Linked DNA regions of Saccharomyces cerevisiae S288C. Changing the gene in region 1 together with any one later gene gives a genetic interaction. Each region holds a gene or a part of one and is shown in the gene's direction. Other genes may lie near its edges.

Evidence for each region. Genes that interact genetically often act in the same process or in processes that back each other up.
Region 2: mutations in ARP2 (region 1) and SHE4 are lethal when combined (synthetic lethality), as found in Saccharomyces cerevisiae (5 studies listed by BioGRID, with this or other methods).

The regions. Positions count from the first base shown.
Region 1 is NC_001136.10:397,689-401,138, forward strand, and holds ARP2 (actin-related protein 2), read left to right. Parts: upstream 1-1,651; coding exon 1,652-1,673; intron 1,674-1,796; coding exon 1,797-2,950; downstream 2,951-3,450. Other genes in the region: SF3a splicing factor complex subunit PRP9, read left to right, coding at 1-1,441; serine/threonine/tyrosine protein kinase MPS1, read right to left, coding at 3,309-3,450. UniProt on the Saccharomyces cerevisiae protein: Functions as ATP-binding component of the Arp2/3 complex which is involved in regulation of actin polymerization and together with an activating nucleation-promoting factor (NPF) mediates the formation of branched actin networks.
Region 2 is NC_001147.6:396,275-401,988, reverse strand, and holds SHE4 (She4p), read left to right. Parts: upstream 1-1,884; coding exon 1,885-4,254; downstream 4,255-5,714. Other genes in the region: CYC2 (oxidoreductase), read right to left, coding at 1-434; SNAP receptor PEP12, read right to left, coding at 775-1,641; YOR034C-A (uncharacterized protein), read left to right, coding at 4,321-4,563; putative palmitoyltransferase AKR2, read left to right, coding at 4,903-5,714. UniProt on the Saccharomyces cerevisiae protein: Required for mother cell-specific ho expression. Might be required for the transport of factors (such as ASH1) that promote HO repression from the mother cell into its bud.

The DNA.
Region 1 (3,450 bases):
ATCGTTGATTGCAGAGAATAAAATATACAAGTTTAAAAAGGTTAAGAGGAAGAGAAAACAGATAATTTTGCAGCAACATGAGATAAATATTTTTCTTCGAGACTACCAAGAGAAACAACAAACTTTTAATAAAATCAATCGTCCAGAAGAGACACAGGAGGATGACAAGGATTTGCCTAATTTCGAAAGAAAACTACAACAGCTAGAGAAGGAACTGAAAAATGAAGATGAGAACTTTGAATTGGATATCAACTCTAAAAAAGACAAATACGCTTTATTCTCATCTTCTTCTGATCCATCGAGGCGCACAAATATATTGTCTGACAGAGCTCGAGACCTAGACTTAAATGAAATATTTACTAGAGATGAGCAATATGGTGAATATATGGAGCTGGAACAATTTCATTCTTTATGGTTGAATGTAATTAAACGGGGCGATTGTTCACTGCTTCAATTTCTCGACATCCTAGAATTATTTTTGGACGACGAGAAATATTTGCTAACCCCACCGATGGATCGCAAGAATGATAGATACATGGCCTTTTTGCTAAAGTTGAGCAAATATGTAGAAACTTTTTTCTTCAAAAGTTATGCTTTGCTTGACGCTGCGGCAGTTGAAAATCTAATCAAATCTGACTTCGAACATTCATACTGTAGGGGATCTCTTCGGTCCGAGGCAAAAGGTATCTATTGCCCTTTTTGTTCGAGGTGGTTCAAGACATCTTCCGTTTTCGAAAGCCATTTAGTAGGGAAAATTCATAAGAAAAATGAATCTAAAAGAAGAAATTTTGTGTACTCTGAATATAAACTGCATCGGTATTTGAAATATTTAAATGATGAATTTTCTCGAACGAGAAGTTTTGTTGAAAGAAAACTGGCATTTACTGCAAATGAAAGAATGGCAGAAATGGATATCTTAACACAGAAGTATGAAGCACCTGCATATGATTCGACGGAAAAAGAGGGGGCCGAACAAGTGGATGGTGAGCAGAGAGATGGTCAACTGCAAGAAGAGCACCTCTCTGGTAAATCGTTTGACATGCCATTGGGTCCGGATGGATTGCCTATGCCATACTGGCTATACAAACTGCATGGGCTTGACAGAGAGTATCGCTGCGAAATTTGTTCGAATAAAGTTTATAATGGGCGACGCACTTTTGAAAGACATTTCAACGAAGAAAGACATATTTATCACTTGCGATGCCTTGGTATCGAACCTTCTTCAGTATTCAAGGGCATAACCAAAATTAAGGAGGCACAAGAGCTCTGGAAAAATATGCAGGGGCAGTCACAGTTGACATCTATTGCAGCAGTTCCCCCAAAGCCTAATCCTTCACAACTAAAAGTTCCTACAGAATTAGAACTAGAAGAAGAAGACGAAGAAGGAAATGTAATGAGTAAGAAGGTCTACGATGAACTTAAGAAGCAAGGTTTGGTGTGAAATCTCTCTGTGATATGTATATTTGTTTGATAGATAGCAGTTGTATGTATTTATACTATTCTTAGTAATGACCTTATTACCCGTCTTGTAGAATTGAAAGGCGAAAAACAATTTGAGGACCCATATAATGGAAGAAAACGGACGTGAAAGTTAAATATACGTACCAGAAGACAAATCACAGTAATAAACTAACAAAACTATATAATAATAATGGACCCACATAATCCAATTGGTATGTTGTTGATATTTTTAGTGTTTGTGGAGGCAATTGAGCTCGGTGCCCCTTTTGGCTTTGCCTCTTTTGCATTTTAGTTCTTTTACCCCTATATTATTAATACTAACCATCTCGATATAGTCCTTGATCAGGGTACTGGTTTCGTCAAAATTGGTCGTGCTGGCGAGAATTTCCCAGATTACACGTTTCCTTCTATTGTTGGTAGACCCATCTTGAGGGCGGAAGAACGTGCCAGCGTTGCTACACCATTAAAGGACATTATGATTGGTGATGAGGCAAGTGAAGTTCGCTCTTATCTGCAAATATCTTATCCTATGGAAAACGGTATTATTAAGAATTGGACAGATATGGAACTTCTTTGGGATTACGCCTTTTTCGAGCAAATGAAACTACCATCCACCTCCAACGGTAAGATTTTACTAACGGAACCTCCAATGAATCCGCTGAAAAATAGGGAAAAAATGTGTGAGGTAATGTTCGAAAAATACGATTTTGGCGGAGTTTATGTTGCCATCCAAGCTGTTCTAGCATTGTACGCACAAGGTTTGTCTTCAGGAGTCGTCGTCGATTCCGGTGACGGTGTTACTCATATAGTCCCAGTTTACGAATCTGTCGTTTTGAGCCACTTAACAAGAAGATTAGATGTTGCGGGTAGAGACGTTACTAGGCATTTGATTGATCTGCTTTCTCGTCGTGGTTATGCATTTAACAGAACTGCAGATTTCGAAACTGTGCGTCAGATAAAGGAAAAATTATGTTATGTTTCATATGATTTAGACCTAGATACAAAATTGGCTAGAGAAACAACCGCCCTTGTGGAATCGTATGAGTTACCAGATGGCAGGACAATCAAAGTGGGACAAGAGAGATTTGAAGCACCAGAATGTTTGTTCCAACCTGGTTTGGTTGACGTTGAACAACCTGGCGTGGGCGAGCTGTTATTTAATACTGTGCAATCGGCTGATGTTGATATCAGAAGTTCCCTGTATAAGGCCATTGTTCTTTCAGGTGGTTCAAGTATGTACCCAGGGCTGCCTTCGAGATTAGAGAAAGAATTGAAACAATTATGGTTTAGTAGAGTTTTACACAATGACCCTTCAAGACTTGATAAATTCAAAGTTAGAATTGAAGATCCTCCAAGGAGAAAGCATATGGTTTTCATTGGTGGTGCCGTTTTAGCTAGTATCATGGCTGATAAAGACCACATGTGGTTGTCTAAGCAAGAATGGCAAGAAAGCGGGCCATCTGCAATGACTAAATTTGGTCCAAGATAGATTTGAACTTTATTGATCCAAAAGAATTAATAAAAAAGTTTAAATCTACGAATGAAAAATGGAAATGGAATAATATAAACTTATATATAAATGTAATAAGTTAATAAGGCACAATTGTTGAACAAGCAATCAAAATATAATATTTCACTGAGCGCCGTTAGAGGATAGTTATCCTTTTCTTGGTATTTCAAGTATTCAGTGTCTGTGTCGAAAAATTGATTGATGATTTATTTAAATGAATATATATAAATATGTAAAAAAGAGTTGATCAAAGTAAATAAATCAGTACATGCATGGCAAACTCTAAATGTATTTATGTTCATAACTGGCACATGCTTTTCTTCCTTATGCGGCTCTTCTAAATTTTGTAATCTGCAAATTTCCTTAAAACAGTGTCTACCACATCATTGAGATCATCTTGTGATATATGAGGCTTCTCAGAGCCATATCTAACGGCATTCCTAATAAGGTCTTCCATAATCGATCCGGATATCATAAAA
Region 2 (5,714 bases), on another chromosome or scaffold:
CCATCTGCATTGTCACCATCTTTTAAGATTTCAATCTCTTTTGAAGCTGGGTTAAATTTAAGCGGTAGAGGCGTATAATTGCGGACCACCATGACTTCCGGTTGTTTGATCTCGACGGACCACAGATTTTCCGCAGTCATCAATGACCATATGTTAACTTTCTGCTTAAACAACGGAGTTACTTCCAATAAAAAATGTGATGAATCAATATCTCGCTTGTGTGAAATCTTGTACTTGACAAAATAAGATGGAGATAACTCATGTTTGTTTTCCCTCTCACTTGTGTACCTGTAGGTTAAATAACTGCTTACTGCTCCAACTGTCAGTAGGCAGCCTGTGATAAAAAAGTTCTTAGAGAAGCTGCTCTTTCTAGGTGACTTATGAAGCCTACGTGTTATTCGGGAACTGGATAGAACATAATTTTTCCACAGCATGCTACTTTTTCTTTTTTTCGTTTCCTCTTTTCTATTTTTGAAGGGTTCTTTCAACACGTTGCACTCTTCGAAGTTGTATTTTTCACTTGGGTTAAGTGAATTTTCACTCTTCATTAGGGTATGATGATATTAACAACATTTCAGAAGGGCAAGGAAAGGCGAAAAACTGAATTATGGAATATACTCTCTCTTTGCGGCTGGTTAAGATGCGACGGCGTAGAAATATTATGAGAGAGCCCATGCATTGTACAGTGAAAGTGCAAAACAAGTTCATTAACACGAATCTGTTTTAAGTGTATATATTATGTATATGATATTTGACGACGTGTGTTGGTTTGGTTTACAATTTCATAATGAGAAAAATAAAAAGAAGCATTACGAGAAGCACAATCAACAAATACACCCTCCATCTGCTCGTACGTTTTTGGTACCGCATGGCCTTCCTTAGCTCGTCTGAAGCCAATTGAGTGTTATCTGACGTTGTATAAATATTTGCTTCAATATTGTCAACTAGCACACCCTGCTGTTGAACAACACTTCCCAAATCTTTAAAAACTTCGTTCAGTTCCGTTATACCTCTTTCAATATTGCTGATTTCCTGGTCTCTTTGCTCGATAAGATTTTGCTGATAAGCAAACTCTTCGTTATTTATCGGGTCTCTCTCAATGACTATTTGGCTGCCTGGTATTCGAGTACTTTTTGAGCTATTCTGCCTTTGTTCTTCATCTAATAAAGCAGCATCATTTGCCATCTCACTTGCTTCAAGAGATTCTTTTGCTCTTTCATTAACTTGTTTCATTACTTGGGTAAACTGCCGCTGAATACCTTGAAACTCTTGAAAAGAGTAACTGACATCCCTCACAAGTTTCTCTCTCGCTATTATTTGAGTCTTATCCAGGCTAGCTTCCTCAATCGCATCCATCTTTTTCACTGATGTATTGACCTTTTTAATGAGCCCGCCTATTTCTTCTATCTTTGCCACAGATCTCTTATTAATTCTTTCCACAACTTTCGCACTAACATCTCCCCGATCTATAAATGACTTAAGTGTCGCGGTAAACTGCTGCAGCGTGCTTATTTGCCCATTTATTTCAAATAACTCTGCAGCAACCTCTTCTTTCAACGTTTGGAACTCAGGTGAATCACTGAATCTGGAACCGTTCCAAACGGCTTCATTATCACCACCAAAAAATTCGTCTTCCGACATCTCAACACAATTATTGTAGTAATTTACGTTATATTCTTCTATAAAAGCATTCTCTTTGGAGTGATAGCAGGCCTGTTTTATAGGGGATTATACTCTGGCGCAGTAGTTCATCGTCGATCATGATGATTATCAGCCGCGATAAGGCACGAAGGCTTAAATCCAATTACGAATCTTCTACTTAATAGTGAAGACGTTTTATCTAAACTACTCACATGAAAAGATTACTAAAAAATTAGAATCACGATGCCACTGTGTGAGAAAGGGAATGATCCAATCGATAGCTCTACTATTGATAGCCTCTGCGCTGCATTTGACAAGACTTTGAAATCCACCCCTGATGTCCAAAAATACAATGATGCTATAAATACAATTTTCCAGCTAAGGCAAAAATCTGAATCTGGGAAAATGCCGGCTGATTTAACGAATAGTGAAGCCCTTAAAGATCGTCAGAAAATCGAAGAAATATTGACCAGGTCTTACCAAGACCATTCTGAGTCCCGCGTACATTTATCTAAACTTATACAGAATGATATTCCCTTCGCACTCAATTTATTTGAAATATTATCAAGATCATCCATCCACGTTTTCGTTGGTTGCTTTTCCAATAAAGACGCAACAATTGCATTGTTAAATGAGCTGCAAATTAGGATACACTATGGCGAGGACACCCACGTCACGTATTTACTGAGCATAATTCTACAACTATTGAATAAGTTCAAGTACAATTTCAAGGAGGTGCGATTTTTAGTGAAGGAACTTATTTTGCGCATAAGCGAAGATGAAGTAAAATCGATGATGCTTATAATTTTTGCTGAATTACAATCAAGCTTCCAAAAAGACTTTGATAAAGCAGTGGTCGATTTCATGAGTAGCTTAATTGTGGAGGCAGAAATAGACGTTGGAAATGATCCATTGTCCATCATAGTCAAAACCCTATCAGAATTATATCCTTCATTGACAACACTTTGTTCTGAAATATTTTTGACCAAAGGACTAAGTAAGCTTTTTAAGAAGAGAGTATTCGAAGAGCAGGATTTACAGTTTACAAAAGAACTGCTGCGGTTATTATCTTCCGCGTGTATTGATGAGACCATGAGAACGTATATTACAGAAAATTACCTTCAACTATTGGAAAGATCACTAAACGTGGAAGATGTACAAATATATTCTGCATTGGTGTTAGTTAAGACATGGTCTTTCACAAAATTAACGTGTATAAACTTGAAGCAACTGTCCGAAATCTTTATAAACGCTATTTCAAGACGTATCATGCCAAAAATTGAAAATGTCAATGAAAGTGCGGTTAAGCTCGAGGAGGTTCCTAAAGTTGAAATGTCCGTTGAAGCGCTGGCATATTTAAGTCTAAAGGCCTCGGTTAAGATTATGATTAGGAGTAACGAGAGCTTTACTGAAATTCTATTAACTATGATTAAAAGCCAGAAAATGACGCACTGTTTATATGGTCTCTTAGTTATCATGGCAAATTTGTCCACTTTACCAGAGGAATCCAATGGTAGTTCACAGTCTATCAATGACTTAAAAAATTACGCAGATTTGAAGGGCCCAGGCGCAGACAAGGTAGGCGCAGAGAAAGAATCAAAGGAAGATATTCTTTTGTTTAACGAAAAGTACATATTAAGGACCGAGCTGATTTCCTTTTTGAAGAGGGAAATGCACAATTTGAGCCCCAATTGTAAACAACAAGTGGTTAGGGTTATATATAACATAACCCGCTCGAAAAACTTCATTCCTCAATGCATTTCACAAGGTGGTACAACTATCATCTTAGAATATTTGGCCAATAAGCAGGACATAGGGGAGCCAATACGGATTCTAGGGTGTCGGGCATTAACAAGAATGCTAATATTCACTAATCCGGGTTTGATATTTAAAAAATACTCTGCATTAAACGCTATCCCCTTCTTGTTCGAATTGTTGCCAAGGTCTACGCCAGTGGATGACAATCCGTTACATAACGACGAACAAATAAAGCTGACAGACAATTACGAGGCACTATTAGCTCTGACGAACTTGGCATCATCGGAGACCTCTGATGGTGAAGAAGTTTGCAAGCATATCGTATCTACAAAAGTATATTGGTCCACGATTGAGAATCTGATGCTAGACGAAAACGTTCCTTTGCAAAGATCAACATTAGAGCTCATAAGTAATATGATGAGTCATCCATTAACGATTGCTGCTAAGTTCTTTAACTTGGAAAATCCTCAGAGTTTGAGAAATTTTAATATATTGGTGAAACTTCTTCAGTTATCCGACGTTGAGTCTCAACGAGCAGTGGCTGCTATCTTTGCTAACATTGCCACCACGATTCCATTGATAGCTAAGGAACTGTTAACCAAGAAAGAACTAATCGAAAATGCTATTCAGGTATTTGCGGATCAAATTGATGACATTGAGTTAAGACAAAGGTTACTTATGCTTTTTTTTGGATTATTCGAAGTGATACCGGATAATGGCACTAACGAGGTGTATCCGTTGCTGCAAGAAAATCAAAAATTAAAGGATGCTTTAAATATGTCTTTAAAGAGAGGCGATTCAGGACCAGAGTTTTCAGCGGCAATTCCCGTTATCCTTGCTAAAATTAAAGTCTAATATGGAAAGAATCGCCATGTTTAACTCTTCTTAATTTTCACTAAGAAATACAACAGCACCCTGATAATGAACACACAAGAACTATGTAAGATTTTCGTAGCCAGAGAATATCCTCTGGTAGTGGTGCCCTTTATATATTTTGTTCTATTTTTACACCAGAAGTATCACACTACTCTAAATTATGTCTGGTACCCTACGTGTTCTAAAAGAATCTGGGTGAGAGAAAAAGGAAGAAAGTGCTCCTTTTTTTTTTTTTCAAAGGTGCCTCGGTCCGATGGCTTCGCAAACAATAGATGCCAAAGGAAATGATCTTCTCTTTTTCGCTTCTTTATTTTTTTTTAAGTTACGACTTCGTGCAGCCTGGGATGTACCAAGCTTGTTGTTAAACGAGCCTGACTTCTTAATCGCTTAATCTTAGTTGAATTTAGTAGTTCCAGTTTGTATGGCTGCTATTTTTGAGTATTTGGAATCATCTTTCGTTCAGCGATCTTTTTATCATTCACTTTGTCGTTTACAATTAGAAAGCGTCAAAACTTTGCATTTTTCATTTAATAATAACTGAACTCCACCAACTTTTTACTAGCAAGTTGTAAAGTTCATCGGTCAGATAAACATCTTAATTACCTGTGAAATACTCTACTGTTTCTTATGACCAGTATGTCAATTATTGATGATGAGAACGTGAAAAAAACTTCTAATGGGGCAGCTGTTGTCACTGATGTGGCTCAACACGCTGTAAGTGATTCGGACAATAACAAAGCGCAACTTCTAGGCGATGGATCCAACACTGAATATGTGGTTGATATTTTCATTGAAGCCGCTAAGGATGGGGATTTAAAAGTGGTGAAGGACGTGGTCGAAAGTGGAGCAGTGGATATTAATAACGACCGCATTGATGAATTATCCGGCTTACACTGGGCCTGTATAAACAATAGGTTTTCTGTAGCAAAGTTCCTATTACTTAGGGGAGCAAATCCTAACCAGGCGGCAGGCCCCGGAGGGGCTACTGCTTTGCACTGGGCCGCAAGGTACGGTAATATCTACATTGTTGACCTGCTTCTCAAACATGGCGCTGATCCGACGCTCAAAGATGAGCAGGGTCTTAACATCATGCATTTTAGCGTTTACAGTTCTAACATTTTACTTGTTGTTTATGTTCTTTATTTTGTCGTAAACAACAATGACAACGTCGATATCGATTCAAAAGATAACAATAACAGAACACCCCTACTTTGGGCTGCTTATCAAGGAGATTTTCTCACTGTAGAACTTTTATTGAAATTTGGCTCCACAGTTGCATGGACGGACAACAGAGGGTTCAATGCTCTCCATTGTGCTCTAGTTGGAGGTGATCAAAGGGTCATATGTGACTTAATACTTAGCGGTGCAAATTTCTACGAAAGGAATAACCAGAAGCAAGACTGTTTTGATCTAGCCGAAGGAATGGGAACCAAATCACT